Arabidopsis thaliana: one gene and its partner. The protein of the gene in region 2 interacts with the protein of the main gene of each other region in a pairwise test. Each region holds a gene or a part of one and is shown on either strand. Other genes may lie near its edges. The genes, in order: CIPK15 and AT3G22810.

Evidence for each region.
Region 1: the proteins of AT3G22810 (region 2) and CIPK15 interact in a two-hybrid assay, tested with the Arabidopsis thaliana proteins (one large-scale study listed by BioGRID).

What each region holds. Positions count from the first base shown.
Region 1 is NC_003076.8:303,816-314,654, reverse strand, and holds CIPK15 (CBL-interacting protein kinase 15), read right to left. Parts: upstream 5,282-10,839; 5' UTR 4,851-5,281; intron 4,570-4,850; 5' UTR 4,196-4,569; coding exon 2,930-4,195; 3' UTR 2,558-2,929; downstream 1-2,557. Other genes in the region: SR1 (serine/threonine protein kinase 1), read left to right, coding at 1-1,232; AT5G01800 (saposin B domain-containing protein), read right to left, coding at 6,009-6,164, 6,280-6,339, 6,479-6,679, 6,775-6,923, 7,146-7,233; AT5G01790 (uncharacterized protein), read left to right, coding at 8,972-9,598; AT5G01780 (2-oxoglutarate-dependent dioxygenase family protein), read left to right, coding at 10,526-10,654. UniProt on the Arabidopsis thaliana protein: CIPK serine-threonine protein kinases interact with CBL proteins. Binding of a CBL protein to the regulatory NAF domain of CIPK protein lead to the activation of the kinase in a calcium-dependent manner.
Region 2 is NC_003074.8:8,062,941-8,074,296, forward strand, and holds AT3G22810 (auxin canalization protein (DUF828)), read left to right. Parts: upstream 1-5,477; 5' UTR 5,478-5,654; coding exon 5,655-5,963; intron 5,964-6,414; coding exon 6,415-6,525; intron 6,526-6,549; exon of another isoform or gene 6,550-6,777; coding exon of another isoform or gene 6,778-6,783; coding exon 6,784-7,216; intron 7,217-7,307; coding exon 7,308-7,550; intron 7,551-7,635; coding exon 7,636-7,685; intron 7,686-7,986; coding exon 7,987-8,044; coding exon of another isoform or gene 8,045-8,082; exon of another isoform or gene 8,083-8,404; coding exon 8,405-8,619; 3' UTR 8,620-8,855; downstream 8,856-11,356. Other genes in the region: AT3G22800 (Leucine-rich repeat (LRR) family protein), read right to left, coding at 123-1,535; CLL1 (allergen-like protein), read right to left, coding at 10,511-10,749, 11,037-11,121.

The DNA of each region.
Region 1 (10,839 bases), on a different chromosome or scaffold from region 2:
TCGCGAAAGTGTACCACGGGAGGAGCACAGCGACGGGTCAGAGCGTTGCGATCAAAGTGGTGAGCAAGCAACGGCTGCAGAAAGGAGGACTCAATGGCAACATTCAGAGAGAGATCGCTATCATGCACCGTCTGCGCCACCCTTCTATCGTGCGCCTGTTCGAGGTCCTCGCCACCAAATCCAAGATCTTCTTCGTCATGGAATTCGCCAAGGGCGGTGAGCTATTCGCCAAAGTCTCCAAGGGCAGGTTCTGCGAGGATCTTAGCCGTCGTTATTTCCAGCAGCTCATCTCCGCCGTCGGATATTGCCACTCCCGCGGCATCTTTCACCGTGATCTCAAACCGGAGAATCTCCTCCTCGACGAGAAGCTCGATTTGAAGATCTCTGATTTCGGACTCAGCGCTCTTACCGATCAGATCCGACCCGACGGCCTCCTCCACACACTCTGTGGTACGCCGGCGTACGTGGCGCCTGAGGTTTTGGCGAAGAAAGGGTACGACGGTGCTAAAATCGACATATGGTCATGTGGAATCATACTGTTCGTCCTCAACGCCGGTTATCTCCCTTTCAACGACCATAATCTCATGGTTATGTACCGGAAAATCTACAAGGGAGAATTTCGCATTCCCAAGTGGACCTCACCGGATCTCCGGCGACTGCTGACTCGGCTTTTAGACACGAATCCGCAGACGAGGATCACTATCGAAGAGATCATCCACGATCCATGGTTCAAACAGGGCTACGACGATCGGATGTCTAAATTCCATCTAGAGGACTCCGATATGAAACTCCCGGCGGACGAGACCGACAGCGAGATGGGAGCAAGGAGGATGAACGCATTCGACATCATCTCAGGATCTCCAGGGTTCAATCTCTCCGGTCTTTTCGGAGACGCCAGAAAGTACGACCGAGTGGAACGGTTCGTGTCGGCGTGGACGGCGGAGAGGGTGGTGGAGAGGCTGGAGGAGATCGTGTCGGCGGAGAATCTGACGGTGGCGAAGAAGGAAACATGGGGGATGAAGATCGAGGGGCAAAAAGGTAACTTCGCAATGGTGGTTGAGATAAACCAGCTAACGGACGAGCTGGTTATGATAGAGGTGAGGAAGAGACAAAGAGCCGCTGCATCTGGACGAGATTTATGGACAGATACACTCAGGCCTTTCTTCGTCGAGCTTGTGCACGAATCAGACCAAACGGACCCAGAACCAACTCAAGTACATACGACGTCGTAGTTTAGGTATCTGTCAAATAAATTATCCAAATAATAATTAAAAAAAAATATCCCGGGTTATATGTAATTGCTTTTTTTTTTACCCGGAGAATATCTCTGACATAATTATTCAGGAAATTTCTCGACAAATCTTAATTTTTAGTTGGCAAGTATGTATCTTCTTGTTATGTAATCATAATTATATTTTATATAAATGAAAAATAAAATATAAAAAAATGTATTACTTGTTTTAAATGGCCACTATAATACATTAGTAACGTATCGTGGATGTGAAGTAATGCTATGTGTACAAGACACTCTAACTTAACCATTACTTAAGGATTAGTTAACTATTCAACATGATATTTAACATACATATAGATGTAATTTTTAACAACTCATAAAACACAGTCTTCTTCTGCTATTAATTTTGTCATTATGTAAAAAGAAGTGTCAAGATTTGAGCCATGAACTAACACAACTGATCTACTTTCACCTTTTTGATAAGTAAGAGGTTGTCCTTATCACATCATTGTAAAAATATACTATTAAAATAGATATATAGCTAGTGGACTTTATATAATCCTATCGCATGTGGCTGTGATATAAGATCATACACCAATAATTCTCATCAATCATTTTCTTTTCTTGGTATCCACATTGAATCCAATCATCCATAATCCATTAATTTCAGCTTCAGCAGTTATAATTACTGTAATCAACATATATATCACCTTTTCAATGCAATAATTGTAGGCTCCACGATCTATATATTATCCAATTTACTATATACACAATCACATCGTACACTTTTAAAGCACTTAATATGCTTTAATTAATTCCTTAATTGTGGTTATATGTAACTAATTATCCTGTTGAGCATAAAAGGAAAAGTAGGAAACACACAAATGCAAAAATCTGACGAGCACGTTATGTTGGTTAGATTACGAAAAGACAAGAGTCTTAAATTGGGTGGTTTCCTTGGTTCTCCTTCAATCCAATTTGTAGTTGTTGGCCCACTAAAAGATAGCGGATTAAGCAAAACCCTTAGAAAAATATACTCTGCACTCTATGATAAAAGGTTTTGATTTGACCAACTGATAAATGTATGGTGTATATCCGATTATGGGCCAACGTGGTCCACTGGAGGCCGTGAATTCAATGAGCTTGTCCATTTTAGTCGTCTTCTCGAATTGGCCCAATCACAATCATCCAACCAATAAAGACACTTTGTCATTTTCCAATACATGTATGAACACTAATCTTACCATTGGATTCTTTTTCTCATTTTTTTAACACCATTTCTTACCAAAAAAATAGAAGAAGAAAACACACCATTAACAAATTCTGTAACGTAAGTTAAATTATAAATTTGTTTTGACTTTGTTAATACACAAAAAGATCATCCAAAAGACTACAATAATACGAAATAACTACAAAATAGTAGTATAATGCTTCCTAAAACCGTTGTCGGTCTATTGGCTTATTTCATTAAGGCTCAATTTATTTTATTTTATCTGATAAAGAAATCTACTTATTTTGTCTCAAACTATATAATTGGTCCTCACATATTATTATTGTTACACTGACACCTAGAAAAATACGAAACACGTCTTAAGATGAGACTCAAGAGAAAATACATAAACTAAACACATTGGCAAAACAAAACAAGAAAAACATTCTAAAAGAAGAAGACACATAAAAAGGATAGAATATGTTTCAGTGCCAAGCTAATACAAAGTCGATCAAAGCCGGTCTTATACTCTCCTTCATGACTCTCTTATACTCAGCAGTATCTCCACCGCTCTTCTTTAGCACCACCATGTGATAGCTCGGCGCAATCTCAAACACTTCCGCTTCCACCACTGTAGCCTCAGCCGACATTTTCACCCTCCATTCGTGTTCCTTCTTCCTCACTTTCATCTTAAGGTCCTTCCCAATCTCCACCAGCTTCTCTGTTATCTCAGATGCCTCTCTGTTTGATGTAAACCTCATCTCCTCCTTCTCCTCTCCCTTCTCGAACAGTCCCGAGAGATCAAACCCCGTGGACAGAGATATGATCTCAAACGCGTTCAGGTTGATACACCGCTTCTTTTCCTTCTCTGCACTTGCGTTTCCCTCTGCCTCTGCGTCCACTTCTGTCTCTTCCTCAACTGATTCTTTCACCTCCTCTTGTAGGCCTTTACGGAACCAAGAGCTCTTCATTATTTTCTCAGTTGATACCCTTGTGTTGGGGTTAGGATCCAAGATCCTCTTGAGCAATCTCTTTGCCCCCGGAGCAAGCCAGTTGGGGAACTTGACTTCAGCTTTGCCTATCTTCTTATACAGCTCCATCAGATTGGAATCACGGAAAGGAAGATATCCAGCGAGCAAGACGAACAATATCACTCCACAGGACCACACATCCGCTTTAAACCCATCATACCCGTTCCTGCTTATCACCTCCGGTGCAACATATGCAGGGGTCCCGCATGTAGTATGCAGCAACCCGTCTTGCCTTCTAGAGTCAGAAAGAGCGCTGAGACCAAAATCAGAGATCTTAAGATTCCCATGCTCATCCAACAAGAGATTCTCCGGCTTCAGGTCCCTGTGGCATACTCCACGGCTGTGACAGAAGTCAACAGCGCGTACAAGCTGCTGAAAGTACTTTCTCGCAACGTCTTCTCTCAGCTTCCCAGTTGACACTTTGTTGAAGAGCTCACCACCCTTAACATGTTCCATGACGAAGTAGATTTTAGATTTGGTGGCCATGACTTCATGGAGCTCAACGATGTTGGGATGCCTCAAGAGTCTCATGGCAGAGATCTCTCGCTTAATCTGCTCGGTCATGCCAACTTTGAGGATTCTTTCTTTGTCGATGACCTTAATCGCTACACTATCACCAGTTTTCAAATGCCTAGCATGGTATACCTTAGCAAAGGTACCTTGACCGAGAAACTTCCCAACCTCATAACGGAGCATCAACACAGATCCTTTCTTCTCCATTGACTAACTGGTTAGCTTAGAGCACTACTAATACCACTAAATAAAAAGACCACCCTAGAATATACTAAAACGCAGACAACATAAAGGGTAGAGGAGGAACTCAGGAGGAGGCTGTTAGTGTCGGATCAACCGTCTTCGCAAAGATCATGCTTCCAAGTGGCGTTTTTTCTAGCATTGTGAGAGGAAGGCTGGAAGGTGTGGAAGCAGGGGTTTAGAAAATGGGTGTCCACATAAGGGATGAGGGAGAACAAGGGCCCAAAGGGACAAAGGATCTGAGAGGGTGGTGTAGAGCAATTGAGTTCAGCTTTCAAATACATGTTTCTGCATTCCCTGGCCTTCCAATTTTTGCACACTCTTCTTGATTAAACAACAACCTGAAACATAGAGAGCAAACCATTAATGACAGGATCAACAAAGAAGGCCTATCTAGTTTGCTCCTAATTAAACACCAGAAAATCGAACACTAAAGACAAGATTCAAAGCGATTGAGAGCTATAAACATGGGACGAAATCTAAGTAGATCGAACTAGGAACGAAACAAACAGATCGAATCGGAACAGAGACATAAGATATGTCTTATATCTATCCATCACAGAAATCTAGATTCCTCAATAGCATCGACAAAATCCGCTGCGAACCAGAATCGAACAATTACCTCAGTTATTATTATGCGCGAAAGAGCTACGAAAAGCGAAGACAAGTATATGCCAAATAGCTTCAGCTGCGAGGAATTGAGAGAAAATGAGAAGAAAGAGAAGAAGAGTTTCCCTTCCTTTATATTATAATCGGCCAACAAACACACAAGTTGATGATATCTATGAATTGCGAAAATGCCATTCTCGGAATTTTTACTAATTTTAATGGAAACAAAGAGCAGCCAACCTGTTTACCTTTTGGCCGTTACTAACCATTTTTTGTCATCATCTCTCTTTTCGCTGTTTGCAATTTGCTTTTTAATTATTTCTTTCTTCTAATAATCAACTTTGTTGTTGTTCTTAGCCCTTAAAATAAGTTATCACTTCTCATCATCTTTCATCGTCATTACACACACTAACCAAACTTAGTTCTTTTTTTTTTACATCTTTTCTTTAGTTTTCAAGCTAAATAAATATACGATAAGCATTAAGGTTTGTTTTAACGAAATTTTCATTTACAAAATTAATTTTATTTCCCAATAAAAGGATTTGTTTCACTACATTGGATATGTACACTGTTCTGTTTGTATTATAAAAGGTTAAAAATCAGTCGCTTTTAGTCAATCAATCACATAATTCTGAATATACATACAGTCAACAGATTTATAAATAGTATACAATTTGTTTTCCAGAGTAGTGTTGATCAAAGATTCCTTTAGATGATATGTACCAGTGACGATGTCACACGTAAGCAAGAATATCCTCTAATGTTAGCTTTTATAGATACGGTGACACTTGCTCTCTTTGTCCTTTACACGTGTCTGACATTTATTCGCTTGTGGGTCAGTTTAAACCAGCTTGGCGGCCCCTAACTTTTGCCAACTGTTTCACAGAAGAAAATGGTGGGCGAGTGATTGAGTACACGCATCAACGTAACGTTTTAGCGAAAATCAGACTACACAACATGGGCAATGTAGAAATTAGCAAAAAGGCCCATCGATGGACAATGGGCCTTTAGACAGCGTTCTTTTCAAATCACACAAGAATCATCAATCGTGTAGTTATGTTTTTAATATATCAATCAGTATTTACATGACCACCGGGTTACCAAATTAAATTAGCATCACGATCATGGCATGGTATTAGTGTGAATGACGACAAAACCAAGGTGGCCGAATTTACGAATCTGCCAATGACTCCACCGCAGGAACGTAGTCACGGTGGGTGGCTGGACCTGGACAGACGTGGAGGATAGTGCACACGTCTTTCTTCTCCAGAAACTTCTGCAAATCCGTAAGCATCAGAGGCCCGTACTCGAATACCATCTTCTTGCACTATTCACCATCATAAACAAACACATTGTTATTATCTGATGATGATCCATAAAAGTATCACAAAACTCAGCTTAAATAGAGAGAGCTTTGCGGGCATTCTTTATTAGTTAGCTACCTTGTCCTGGTAATTGTTAAGCGACTTGCATTCCTTGAGAAGTAACCGAATTATCTTCAGCTGCAACATTCACAAGGCAAAAGTCAATCTTCAGCAGCAATAATAAATATCTCTAACTGATATAATTCTTAGTGCTAAGCCTAAGGTTTGCGACACAGAATAGGTATGTGATAATAGAAGGAATGAAGGTTGAGCAAACCTTAGTCTCAGGATCCTTGAGTTTGGTGACAACCTCAGAGACAGTCTCGCGGCAAGCCTCGCAGTTTCCTTGATGGACTTGAGAGGCAAAGGCCGGTGTCACAGCTTGACAGAGGTTAAGCCGTTTGCAGATTTGGTCTGATTTGATAGTAGAGACTTGTGTGAAGAAAAGTTGGGTGTAATGATCTACCATTGAAAGACACTGCAACAAACACATGAGTTGGGCATAGTTAACATATAACCACGTCTGAGAAAAGGAATAGAGAAAGCAAAAACAACCAAGGACTCAATGAAGACCTGTTTTTTGAGAGGAGGAATCTGAGAGCAGCTGATATGAAGGGCCTCAACGAGTTCATTCTGGTTGTCGTAGTCTTGAAGGTAATCAATGACTAGCGTGACATACTTGTCACATAGTTCACAGACTTGGTTGTCATCATGAGCTGATTCTGCAAACGAAACAATCATACATAGGAGATCAACACAAATATTATATGGAGCAAACTTCTTAAACCCAATTAAAAAAAAAAACATACATCAGGATGTCTATATCAGATTGAATGCTTTCTGAAAACGTAACGTATTCAAATAATCCAGTGAACAGATTTTAACAAATTTGAATTAGAAACAGGTGCAAGAGAGACTCTAGATGCCTTCAAAAATGTTCTTACCGAATGGTTCGAGAAGAATCGGGTTTGTAGCATGACAAGACCAGCTCAAGAGGAAGAGGACTAGGAGGACTCCAAATCTACCGCCCATGTTTCCTCGTGAGATCTATATATTACCAAATTTAATGATGATGGATCAAAAACCGATTTGGAGATGGCCATATTCATAAGTCAACAGACACTTTTTGGGGGATTCCGATTTTGAGTTGTCAACAATTTTAGGTTGAAACGCTAAATTAAACAGATCTAAATCAAACCATAAGCGCTAAATAGGTCTGCATATACGACGAGACTGGGGACAAATTAATATGTGCTAAAAGCTCTTATTCCATAGAATCGATACATAAACAACAATCAAATAAGTGTACGAAAAGATGAAGAAGAAGAAGCTAGCTTACACGGCCTCCGATGAAGAAGCTTGGGTATCAATTAGATCTGATTAATGAAAGAGAGCAACCGATCGACGATCGACGATCTTCGATGCTGCTGGGGTTGCTGCTCTCTCTCTCTTTTTCTTTTTTTTTGTGAAAAAGCAAGAGTCTCCTCTCATTTAGATCCATGGTAACAGAATTATATGATTGGCCCTTTTTTTTGTCAAACATATGATTGGTCCTTTCTTTATTATTATTATTATTTTCAATCTAATTAAAGGGCTGTAGTATCAAAATTACTTTTAAAATCTATATTCACATTACCTATTTTGTTTTCCAAACAAATAAACTAACTAGTATTTTATTTCATCTGCTATAAGAATATGATACTCCAAGTTTATACACCTCTGGACAAAATTGTTTGTTCCATTTTCTTCTCCTTATTTTGATACTGTCAATACCTTAATGGAGATGTTTAAACCGTAATTAATCGCATTTGTATGATATTCGCCAAATTATCTTTCACAACCCAACAAATGAGAAATTTGGTTGTTGGTTTTAAACCTTATAAATAGGTCACGGTTCTCAATACTTTAAAGACCTTCAATTTTTTAAAAAAAAAATCTCTCATTTTTCTTTAATGGACGGAAGAAAATGTAATTATGTCTTCTTGTTTAACCTTTAACGAAGAGATGTAAATTCTGATGAGGGGAGCGAGTATATGAATATCACATGAAAGATATTAATGCAAAAGAATGGACCGACCATGGGGTCTATCAGTGTGTATATACTAAGGAAAGCAATGCTCGGAGGTATGTGGAGCACATGTAGGAATGCATGGGTCGTGGCTCGTTTAGTCATACACTGTTTTCCAATTTAATCAGATAAAAACCAATTATTCAATTCATATTGTTTTCATCAATGGTCCTATCTACTCTCCAAATAAATGCTTCTACAATAACCACACCTTTCTTAATAAAATCTACTCATCAATGACATGTTTGTGTTGAAGTTATGTATATGTTGGCTTGTAATGTAAATATTCTCATGGATGAATCGTTAATTGCTATATACATGTGATACAAATATCTTGCCTTGAGTATGACGTATTTAGATCTCCTCATTATTCATATGTGAGTGTTTTCTTTTGTACCCGGTAGCATTACTTAGTGTTCAAGGGTCTAATAAGTTGTGATGACTTTATATATCCATCGAGTGGTTATTGCCTTTGTAGGATTGGACCAACACACTTCGAGATGTATCTTTATAAGTTCTAACTATGAGAGCTAATTAACCGCACTATTGAAACTATTATTTCACTATCATTAATTATTACATTTTGCTTTTAATATATAGTTTCTATAGACACCAAAGCCAAACAAATAAGCCCAAAAGTAAAAACCGTACCAAAGACACCAGGCACCCATATATACATGATAGATTGACTCCATATGTCTCATGCACACATCTCTCCCTCTCTTTCCTTCCCTCTCTCTCTCTCACTCTCCCAAGACAATAATGCCAAACGCGGGATCTGAGCGGGCAGCTTCACTCTCACTGAAAAAGCAAGACACCGCCACCTTCTCCGGTAAGCTACCGTCGACCAAACAACGTTTTTCGTCGGTATCAGCTGCTTGTCCTTCCTTTAGAATCTACTACTACGACGGAGCCGCCGGTGCCGTCCCTTTCGAATGGGAATCTCATCCAGGCACACCCAAACACCCCTCCTCTGAGCTACCTACTCTGCCACCTCTCACTCCTCCGCCGTCTCATTTCTCTTTCTCCGGCGACCAAATCCGCCGCCGTTCCAAAAAGTCCACCAAGAAAATCCTCGCACTAATCCCGACAAGGCTCTTCTGGCTATCGGGCGATCACAATGGTAAGGCTAAGAAACTGTCGGCTTCATCACCACCATCTCTGTCGGAGAGAGTGTTGATCGACGAAAATGAGTACGATCTGTTCAAGTTTCAAACAGAAAGGAATGTCATGCGAAGATTTTCATCCTTCGACTCTTCTGCTGACTACCCAATTCAGAGATCACAATCCACTTCCTGCTTCGGAATCCGCAGATGTTTCCTCTGCTAATTCCGCTGCAAAATTTGGAAAATAAAACGTTGAAATTTTATAAAATGTTTTTCATATATTAGTTTATTTTGTGTTCCATCGTCTTATTATTATAATATTTAATCAGTTTGTGTCGGTAATGCAACTCCGAATCATATAATACGTTTACCTTTTTGTTAAATAAGAGCAATGAACAGTTACAAGAGTTACGTAAATTGATCAGAAGATTATTATAGTAACTGTCGCATTCACTTTGGTTTAAAGTGCATGACTAAAACTTTGATAATTTAAGTATAGCTTTTGGCAAGTGTGTCTTTTTGTATATGGATGGTTCCGTGTAAAAATGTAACTGTGAGTTTGAACAAGCCTTCTTTGGTGTTAATTTAGCTGTCTTCCAAGCAAAGGAAATTAATGAATGGGGTTTGGTGGTTGGTTTCTTCTTAATTGATTTTTTGTCGAATATGATTGGTTTTCTACAACCTCCTCACACTCGAAATAGCAGAATCATTTGGTCCATTTTTAAAAGATAAAATCTACACATCTTTCTTTCTTCTATATTACCTGGTAGGTTTTAGAGTCAAGATTTTAATTTACCTTTTTCCTGTTAGATGTAACAATACGTTTGAATACTGACATAAACTAAGATTTGACACTAAAGTATGTTGAGTTAATAAGTTAAGGAAGGTGTCGGCGGCTACCATTCGAGCGTGTTCATCACCCGCCTGTCGTGCGCGTAGAAAACTCATTTCGCTCCCACAAATTAATGTGGAAGACCCTTGCTATCTATGTTACGAGGCCCATGGGCCCATGTAATTAAAATAGTGTAATTTGAAATTACTGATGTGTTCTCGGGAAGATCAATATATAATTAGAAAGAAGGCTCTGCGCCGACGGCGTAGAAGACGATGCGTCTCTTGTCGTCGCCGATAAATCGAGGCTTCTTCGACTATGTTGAACTCTATCCATCGCTCGTTTCATCTTACTTCCCGCCACCAGATCGTCCTTCGGCTGTGCTCTCCGTCGGCGAGTAGGACGATAATGAGTTCTTCTCCTCACTCTCCGATCCCAAAGACGCATGTGAGTGATCGTTTTCGCATTCTCTAGACTATTATCTTTCAACCTAGTTTCGCTGATTTTGAACCATTTTTACTATGCCGCTGATCGCATGAATTTGATTGGAAAAAAATGCTCTCATGCTTTCATAGTTTATATTCAATTTCCAGTGGCATACCATATCAAGTACTGTTGTTTAGAGATTATGA
Region 2 (11,356 bases):
ATAAATAAATTTAAAAGAGAATAAATAACAATTAAATGAACACTAGCGTTACATAACGTAGAACACAATAACTAAACAGATGGCAGTTTCAACTATTGCATCCCACTCGGTCAAAAGAAGCCTTAGTAATGCACCGGCGTTGGAAGATCGTTACAAGGAGGTGAAGGATACATATATGGTTGCGGTGACGGTGGTGGCGGAGGATACACATATGGTGGTGATGGCGGTGGAGGATACACATATGGTGGCGGTGGCGGTGGATACACGTATGGTGGAGGTGATGGAGGTGGTGGCGGCGGCGAAGGATACACATATGGTGGCGGTGGTGGAGGTGGAGGTGGAGGTGGAGGTGGAGGTGGAGGTGGAGGTGGAGGTGGAGGAGGAGGAGGAGGAGGCGGTGGACTAGGTGGAGAGCAGCCAAAGGATGCACAATCAATAGGATAAGAAGAAAAGGATTTGCATTCAGCGAGAGACCGTTGCATTGGCCTTGAAGGTAAACAATTTCTACGATCATCAAACTCTTGAAGCCTCAAACAAGCCGGTGGCTCACCGGAGAAGAAGTTATACGAGTAAGTGAAGTTCTCGAGCCTTGGTAATCGGCAGATACTCTCCGGAATGTAGCCGGAGAATTTGTTATGCGCAATGTTTAACTGCTCTAAACTCTTCATATCACCTATAGTCTCCGGCAACGAACCCACCAAGTTGTTGTAACTCACGTCGAAAACCGTCAACTGGTTAAGCAAACCGATTTCCCGGTTTAAACAACCGGTTAGTTGTGAGTTCGTGATAATGATTTCGTGTAATGTTTTCCCCATTTTGTAGAAACTTGGAGGTACACAAGATCCTTGGAGATCGTTGTTGGCCAAGACAAGAACAGAAACCGGAGAGTTTCCGATGTTTCTCGGTAACCTAAACTGGAATTTGTTGTCGTTAATGAAGAGAGCGTCGAGGTTTAGGTCAAAGAGTTGGCTAGGAACATCACCTTGGAACTCATTGAACCTAATGTCGAGAAACTTCAAGGAAGGCAAAGAGAAGATTACGGAAGGAAACTCGCCGGAGAGTTTATTGTTGCTGACGTCAAGCTCATGGAGAAGATGGAGACATTTTAGAGTTTTGGGAAGTTGACCTTGAAAACGGTTGGAATTGATATGGAACAAGGCAAGATCGGTTAAGAGACCAAGCTCTAAAGGGAGATAACCGGCGATATTAGCATGGTTCAAGTCTATACCAGCGACGGTTAAGACATAAGGGTTATCTAGAGCCGGTGCACAAAACACGCCTGTGTAGTTACAAACATTAGGACCGCACCAGTTAGAAGTGAAGCCGTTTGGGTCAGAGGTTATGGTGAACTTCCAAGCTTGAAGAGCTGTGAAAGCTTTTAAGAGCCTCGGGTTTGTGATAGGAGGAAGAAAAGGATGAGCGAAGCACGGGTTTATTGGAGGAGTATGGTAGGTGAAAGCTTGAGGAAGAAGGAAGATGAAGCTGAGACCAGAGACCAAGAACCACCACTGGAAGAAGAAGGTGTCTTCTCTCATGACTAATGAGTTTTTGAGGTTGTTTTGTGTTGTGGAAATGGGAGTACAAGGTTACATATGTATACACAATGGGGGTGTAACCACTTCCTTTGAAAAGTTATATGTTGATGTTGGAAAATAATTGTAGATGAGAATGGTTATTCTTGAAGAGAGTCAGTCTTTGTTTATAGTGTGTTCAATTTTTTAATTACTATTTTATAACGATGATTAATTCAAATTTGATGATTGATAAGTTTTTGAAAAAGAATTTACATATATTGGGTGACAGTACAGCATTGATTTGACTTTTGTTGGTTTGGTAGAGAAGGTCAGAATTAGCAAAAGAATGTTCTTTGATCCATAATAATGCATCTATAGTTTTCTAATCTCTGTGTATCCACTTCTTGTAGAAATCAAATTGGAAAAAATATTAACACTTCTAATGGTCAAATAATATCACATATCCAAAGTTTAAATTTCAACAAAATATGTTTAAGTCATCCAAAAAGTTGCTTTTGAAAAATTATATAAAGCCAAAAATCATTGTAACTCCTGAATAAACCATTAATGACAATATTGGGATATGAACTCTCGAGCTACATGTGTTAGTATCACTGTTGAAACAGTACACGAATGTGGATTATAAAATGGATTGTTTAGTAAGTAGGTCTACGACAATTGCCTCGTTTCTTCGACACAAGTGTTACTCCGTTAACACGATCCAGCACATAACCATGTAATATATAAATTCATAGTTTCATGGGGGGCATTTATAAATCATCGGATGGTTGTTACTTGTTTAATTAATTACCACCAGAAACACGGTTTTAGTAAACTTTTAGATCATTATTGTCTAATTATAATATCAATATTCCTAAAAAGCATGAAAACATATTTGAAAACAAACCAAATGTTGAAAACTGTGGATTTGGACAGAAACAAAATCTTTCCCTTGTTCTTTACTTTAATTAAGACAACTTGTTCTCAGAAAACTAGTGGTCTTTACTATTTGTGACTCAATATCATTTTAGGAAAAGCTCTTTAAACAATTTAATTTTGAGATTAATCACAGGATTAATAATCACCTGAGGATCGTAATGTTTTTAGCTTTCATGTACTGAATTTATTTTGAGGGTTGGCGTGTAGTTAATATCGATGCTTTTGACTTCCGTATATACGTATGTTTATACGTTTGTACACGTATACGCAACTATTATATATATTTTAGTTACCAAGCCACTTGAGATTCTTTTTTCTGTTGATCTGAAGATTTCTTCAAAATCAAGTTCGATGGCTAAGCTAGGTCAAACACTTATCACAATCTGCGATTAACTACCAAAGATTCATACTGACATCACATTCATCCATAATACAATGTATATTGATATTATCTCCACTTGGTTGTGGAAAAAAATGAGTTTCTTAAAACTTTCGTGCACTTAACACTTTATTAACTTGTTAACGGACTTAATGTCGCTACAATACAAACTAATCCTAAGAAAAGTTGTAATGTTTGCCCAAAAAAAGTTGGGTTCTTTTGGTCCAATGTCTTTTCAATGGTGTCACACATTAGTTTAGTGGGCTTTTCTACATATATTCTTGAAAAGAAATTGAATTGGTTTCGCCCAAGGTTTAGCTCATCAAGCGGCCCCAAAGATTTTTGTGATCCAATCCAGCTTCATAGTGCCATATATCTTTTCGACAACTTTATAACGTGATCACAATTCGCTACGTTTACACAAACTAGATAATGACATGAATATATAGTACAATGGTGGACTACTTCTAGTTCTACTGATCACGGCTTCTACAAAAGAATTACAATTGACGAATATAGCCACTCTCGGAAAACAATCAACAATTAAGCTTCATTTGAAAAAAGCATATCGTTATCTTAATAAATCACAATAAAATTCGTAACAAAAATGTTGTATAGTTTTTAAAGTTGATACTTATAAAACAGTCAAGATGATAAACACGTGAAAGTTAATACGAAAGGGTGAGTGGTATCCACATCAAGAATTACTACTCTCTCTTTAACCAAATGAGACAAATTCTGCTGAGGTTATCCCTTTTGTCCACTACCCTACACACCTCCACTCTCTGGAGGTGTCATCTCGTACCTTTTTCTGTAGCGAGCTCTTCGGTCTGGTCCAGTCCAGACCAACCATCAGGTTCAGATACAGAACTGTGGGTCCGTCCTATGCCGTTGATGCGAGCCATGTGAGATTGTATCATGCTATTTTCTGTCACCAAAACAAAAAATAATGTGTCAATAAGTAATGTTTGTGGCCTTTTGACAATGTTTGTTGACACTCATGTCAAAGAAACCTGATTTGAATCGAGTCTCAAAATAAAGTTGGAAGTTATGACTTCTTATAAGTTTCCGATATAATTGAGTTGTTAGAGAAGATGGAGTTTCATTAAAGCAATATAAGAAAAACAATAAAATTGTCAAACAGACTATATATTCCCGGATAGGAGATACTACAATATAATATTTCAGATTTAGGTTGAATCTATATCAAAGAAGGGTAAGAAAGTTCAATAATGGGAGTCAAAAATGAACTCTAGTGTCGGCTACATAAAGAAAGTTATACATGAAAACGGTAATTTGTTTTTTATTTTTTTCTTTCCATAATTCATATTTAGATAGAATTGGCTTTACAGATTACAACACACAATACTTAGTTGATTTCCTTTCTTTAAATGTACAATAAATCAAAAATGAATTATTTGTTTTTTTGTGCGAAAAAATAAATTATTTGTAAGAAATTCAGTTTAGTTATGTATTGGTTAGAGATTTTTTTTAAATGCTCATATTTTTTTTTAGTTTTGTTGTTTATTAAATATCAAAAAAAAAATCTCTTTATTATAATATTTTTTTGAAGACGGTAACGCCTTTATTTTTTTATTAATTTATTTGTTTTTTAAACTGTAACGCCAATCCGTTATTCGTAGATAAAAGTTCGAAACGTAATTGATTTTATAGATTTTTCGTTCTAAATTAATTTTTTGTCAAACTGTAACGCTAATTCGTGGCTTTATTTGATTTTACGTTGAGTTTTTTTCTTAAAAAAAAAACATAATCTAAATTATGAAATTAGATATATTATTGAATATTTAACAAATGAATGTATATATACACTTGAACTTACTTATCAAATTAAACCATACATATAATCAAACCATACATATAAAGCGTTGAACCAAGTCATGGTCATAACAAAATATACCAAATTTTTTTAATGTTAACAGGGATCCATGGAATGATGGAAGTTTGGCACACCTTTCTCTCCTGCCAATATTTCAATAATGATGGAGTCGCCACATTTTTGCAGGTCACTCATCATGGACTCATGAGGTCCCTTATCATTTATGTCTTCTTTCCATTTATCACTCCTTTAAGATAGAAGTCAGAGTCTCCTTAAATTCTCATTTCAGTATTTCTATTCATTTGTTTTATAAAATTATTTGTGTAAAACTGTAAAGTAAAGATTAAAGTTAAATCAAAATTACCGTGATTAATTACTGTAATCATACTCATAGGACTATGTTAAATAATTGGTTTACACTTTTTTTTTGGGAACATATGTTAATTTTGATGAAATAAAAACTATTTCTTAAACTAGGTTTCCAAATATATGAGGTTTTTGGATTTTTTTTTATTTGTGTTTCTTAAAGTTTTTTGGAAAGTTAAATTTATTTCAATTTTTTATTATTATTGATTATATTATTTTAAAATGAAATTGTTTTTGTATGTGTATATATATATATAGGATAAAACATATACTATATAAAAGCGTATAAAAGTGAGATAAGAGTGTGTATATATATGTATATTTTTTTTTTTGACAGCAAGATAAGAGTGTATTAAGTTACAAAAAAATAAATAAATTACAAGCAAATTAAGAGATAAAAATATCGTATTTATTACCTTTAAATATCAAAATTTTCTTTTTAAGAGGAAGAGTAATAAAGCAAAGCATTGAAGCAGAGAAGAGGAAAAAAGCTGTGACTTTCATACATTACTCTCCCTCTCCATCTCTCTCGTTGTCACATATCAGTATATCACAAAACAAATTGCAGCCATTCACATCTTTCTCTTCCATCTCTCAACATTCTCTTTCTCTCTGTAAAATGGAGAAACCAGTGTTTGCACCATGGCGTTCCGACCAAGTTTTCCGGCCACCGGAGACACCATTAGAGCCGATGGAGTTTCTCTCTCGCTCCTGGAGCGTATCAGCTCACGAAGTCTCCAAAGCTCTCACTCCTTCTCAGCAACTCCTCTCAAAAGCCTCAATCGAAAACACCACCGTCATTCTCGAAGAACCCATCGCCGCCGGCGAGACCGAAACGGAGGACAACAGCTTCGTCTCCGGAAACCCTTTCTCCTTCGCTTGCTCAGAAACTTCTCAGATGGTCATGGATCGTATCTTATCTCAGTCTGTAAGTGTTTCATAACGCTTTCCTAAAAAACAGAGCATTTGCAGACAAAAAAATTCTGTTCTGTTCTGTCTCAATTCTCTTAATTTCGTCAATTTGATTCTATGTTTACTCAATTCTATCGATGGGTCATTACAATTTCATGAGTTAAGCACGATTTTGGTCTAAAGATCACGTTTTTTTTTTTTTATCTTTCGCAATTCTCATGAATCATGAATTCTTCAGTGGGTTCAACGAAGTTGAATTTTTCATGCGCAATGATTTGTAATCATATATATCATCCTTAATAAAATCGATATGATTTTCTAAAACACTCACCTTTCATGGGACCCTATAACATAATCACAAAAAAAGTTTGGAGTTTTCTTCAAGTCAAAAAGCTAACAATTTCACTGTTCTTTCTTTGTCTTCTTTCTTAATTCTTTTGCCATAACTTTAAATTATGTTATTGCAGCAGGAAGTGTCGCCACGAACATCTGGTCGGCTTTCTCATAGCAGCGGTCCTCTCAATGGTTCTTTAACCGACAGTCCTCCGATTTCGCCGCATCAAGTCGACGACATTAAGGTCTAAAACATTCTCATAATGTTTGGTTCTTTAATCTCGCTTGCTAATGTGTGACTCTGTGTTTAATTAGTATAGTAATATTTTTGATATCTTCGATGAAGATTCATGGATTGTTGGCTGTTGCTTATTAAATTATTGAAGTGTATTTTAATATAAAGCATTAATCTTTACTCGATTTGGTTTCTTCTTTTGTTTTATCCGTTTTGTTGTGAATTAACACAGAATCTGATTTTGTTGTGTTTTATTTGCTCTATGCAGCAATTTTGCCGATCAAACAACAATTTCAACTCTCAATACCGTTCAACGGGAACAACTCCGGGACCTATCACTGCAACAACTACACAGTCCAAGACAGTTGGACGGTGGTTGAAAGACAGGAGGGAGAAAAAGAAGGAAGAGATGAGAGCACACAATGCTCAGATACATGCTGCTGTATCAGTAGCTGGTGTGGCAGCCGCGGTGGCTGCTATCGCGGCTGCAACTGCTGCTTCGTCGAGTGCTGGAAAAGATGAGAATATGGCTAAGACGGATATGGCTGTGGCTTCTGCTGCAACACTTGTGGCTGCTCAATGTGTGGAAGCTGCTGAAGTTATGGGAGCTGAGAGGGATCATTTAGCTTCCGTTGTTAGTTCTGCTGTTAATGTTCGATCTGCGGGAGATATCATGACATTAACCGCTGGAGCAGCCACAGGTTCTTAGAGTTTGTTTTAGAAATTGATACTATGTTTCTAGTGAAAACATGTTTTTGCTTGAGTGCCATTTTTGTTTTGCTTCTGGTGTAGCGTTAAGAGGAGTGGCTACATTGAAGGCTAGAGCTATGAAGGAGGTGTGGCACATTGCATCAGTTATTCCAATGGATAAAGGAATCAATCTCGGAGGTTGCAGCAATGTTAATGGTAACGGGAGCTATGTCAGCTCAAGCAGCAGTCATAGTGGCGAATTTCTAGTTGAGGATAATTTCTTGGGACATTGCAATAGAGAATGGCTTGCTCGAGGTGGCCAACTTCTTAAACGCACCCGCAAAGGTTAAAACGCTAATCTATTAACAGTGTTTCTCTTGTTATGGTTTTGGATCCATTTTCTTAACTAATGTTGTGGTTTTGGTGGCAGGTGATCTTCATTGGAAAATAGTTTCAGTTTACATAAACAGGCTAAATCAAGTAAGATTCCTTCTTGAGCATTGATATTAGTGATCTGATGAACTTTGGAGAGAGGAAAGAAAGATTAAAGTGAGATACATTATTAGTGAATCAGTGGAAACTTTTTTAAGTCACCTACATGAGTGTGATTTTGTTAAAAGAATAGAAAAAAAGAACATGAAAAAGTGATTTCAGAGACCAATAAAAGAAGAGAAAGCAATTTTGTGAATGATGTATATATCTAGTAATATGCTTTAGTCTCTGCTTAAAACCATTTCTTGGCATCATTCTTATGATTTTGATTTGGTTATTGAACATGAAGGTTATATTGAAGATGAAGAGCAGGCATGTAGGAGGGACCTTCACGAAGAAGAACAAAAGTAAGAGAAATTCTTACCCTTATTATGCATACACCTAGTAGAATCTTGATATATTCTCATAGTATACTAATGTGACATAACTAAAGGTGAAAGCTTTAACTTTGTCACTATCTACTAATACTATCAATAATATGAGAATTCAAAACTTTGATGTGGGTCTACTTTGAATATGGGGATTTGAGAAGAAAAGCAAAAGGGTTTTGGGACTAAAGTGATCAGAGGATCAAAACAAAAGGAGACGCCATCTTTAACTTTTTTTGTTTTTAGTCTGTCTTTTGGATGTGAATATCAAGACTCTTGCACATTCTCCCTTAATATTTTTATTTGCCTGATCTTTTGTCTTCTTTTAAATTACTTCAGATGTTGTGATTGATGTGATCAAAAACGTTCAAGCTTGGCCAGGCCGCCATTTGCTGGAAGGAGGAGAGGATTTGAGATACTTTGGGTTAAAGACGGTTCCGCGAGGGATTGTAGAATTTCAGTGCAAGAGCCAGAGAGAGTATGAAATGTGGACACAAGGTGTCTCAAGGCTTATTGCTGTTGCTGCCGAGAGGAATAACAGATATAGGATATGAAGGGAGTAGTAGTTTTAAGAGTTCAGAGCTACTTTTTGAGGGGTGATATCTAACTTATGGGGCCAAATTATAACTTGGAGAAAGTTAAGGGTGTTTTCTTTAGAGTAATGTCTTTTTGTAAGGTATATAGGATTAAATGTGGCCTCTATAAGGGTAGCTAGTGAAACAAATCTTGGTGTTTGTATATATATTTTTTTTTTGTGAAAAAAGTTTAATATCAAATTTTTAATTTTATATAAGGTCGTAATCTGGTAGGTCCATTTCCCATATTGATTTTGATTTGTATCATGTTTGAAATTGAACACCACATTCTTGCAGTCATGTATTAACTTAATAATACGGTACCAGCCTAAATGTTCATACAAGCTTAGTGACTAGTGAGATAGCACTGTGTCCTCCAATAGGTATGCTCACAATCATCGCATATGGATTCACAATTGACGCTCATGTAACATTAGTAAGTCCGAAACCCATCAAACCCAAGCTTCTAGAAGAAATCCAATGTATTGGCTTTGCTGAAGTTATAGAATTCATCGGTCCACATTTGGTGTTGGCAACGCTCATGATGATTATAGTGTTGACTTTTGACTAGTATAATATATCAATGAAAATATTAAAATGCATGTTTTTGGAAACGAATAAGTATATCTTTTCATAATGAAATTTTTCATATGCCCAATGGACTATATTGGGTGTGTATTTGGGCTGGCCCAGTTAATTTGTAAGGTTATCTATTATAAATCTACCAAAAAATTTCTCCAAGTTAAACCTAAATTTTAACTAGCTAATAAATATTTTTTTTTGTGGTAAAAACCAATCATGTGTTTGGTTTTAAAAACAATCATGTGTTTGAGTTAGTGTTCGTACGTATGACATGTTAGGAGCAAATCATAGAAGAATACACATTCCAAATGGCTACACCTACACATTCCAAATGGCTACACACATTATACAGTATACACAGTTTTTTTCACCTTTATTTCCTTATCTCTTGAATGAAATTAAATGTACATATATACTACATTTACTTTCAATTTTGTTTCCGTTCAATTTAATGAATTACTTAATCTGGCAAGAACAAATAGTAGAAACAGGCCCCGCTTGCATGTGAAAAAACTGACTTTGACTTGGAAGATAAATTAAAAGCTTAAGTTGTGTAAGACCAACTCGTGTGTTTCGTACGCCTGCGCCTTGGTTTATGTGCACAACTTAGAAAATTGTTTCCCATTGCATTACGTAACATACCAACACCACACGATTGCTAGAAGCATTTCCCAAAAGAATATATGTTTCATGCAAAAATCTGCTCCAGTTGTTATTATAGTGTACAAGATATTAGAAATATGTGTACAGCCAAAAGTATATCTTCTCCGTAGTTCAACCAGAAAAAAAAAACATTACAATTTAAAAGAGAATTTCCAAAATTTTGAGTTCGACATGTCTGAAAGAAAAATAGACTAAATAATGGATTAATAAACTACTACACACGACAAGTAATGGCCTAATGGCTAATGGCAAATGGGTATCGAGGGACCAATTAAAACCTATGGGTCCGAAACACATGAGCCGACTAATAAATCAAGAGGGGTTGGTCTGAAAATAGGGGGGCAAACGCACTTAATAAGGAATGATATGTGTATTGTAATGATCATACATTTTTTTGATAAGGTTATATATCTATATATAACTATTACTATCATATTTTTCCATGTGTTAAAAACTGTTATGATCATATTATAACTTTTAAACAAAATATTGCCTCAAAGCTAACCAGTAAAAACCAATTAGTAAGGAGGACAAAATTAATCCCGAGGAAAAGAAAAAGCTAACAAAAAGTTCACTAATTGTTGAAGAATTAATTAAGTTAGGTCATGAAGATCTGTTTTTGGTTTTAGGGCATGAAGAGTTTGTTGCCACACTTGCAGCGCCAAGCTTCAGGGTAATACTCCAGTGGCATAATCAGACCTGGTTGAATCGGAACGTGAACTGCTTTACAAGGCTCACATTTCCCACACTTCAATCTACACATCGGAGGCACCGAGCCAGGTCCCCCTAACCGCTTCTGATCTACAATCTGACCCGGTAAACCCGACCTAGCTATCTCCTTCTTCCCCTGCCCAAGCCCTCCACCTGGTTTAACGACAGAGTAAATTCATGACTACTAGTAAATAGGCAAAAGAAACAAAAAATGGGGTTTTCACTTTTTCTCCTTCATTTCTTCTTTTGTTTAAGCAACAAAACATTTTGCTTAGTTGAGTATGCAATTGTTAGAAGTTAAGATCTTTTAGGTTCCTATTCCACACATAACTATACAGAAAAAACGGTTCCATATAGATTTTTTTTTCAAAACAAACAAACTATGCTATGTAGATAAAACATGATAGTAGATAAAAGAGTTTAAAGAAGTGGGTTCTTACTGGGACGTTGAAGAGAGGCGGCGGAGGACGACGAGAAGAAGAGAAGGAAAGCATAAACGATGAGAGTTGGGAGGACGACGCCCATTAGCCAGGACCGGTGAGGAGTGTTTTTGTCTTTAGGTTTAGGAATTTTGGGTAAAGTGGTCCAAAGTCAAAGAGACATGTAAAAGAGAGTAATGAATAAAGAGAGAGAAAGAGTGTATGAATAATCAAACCCCCATCTTCAATCATTGTCATTTTTATGTAGCGATGAAATTAATCTAAGTTTCATAAGCTAAGATAAATATAAATATAAATAATATATTAGAGTTATTGTTAAT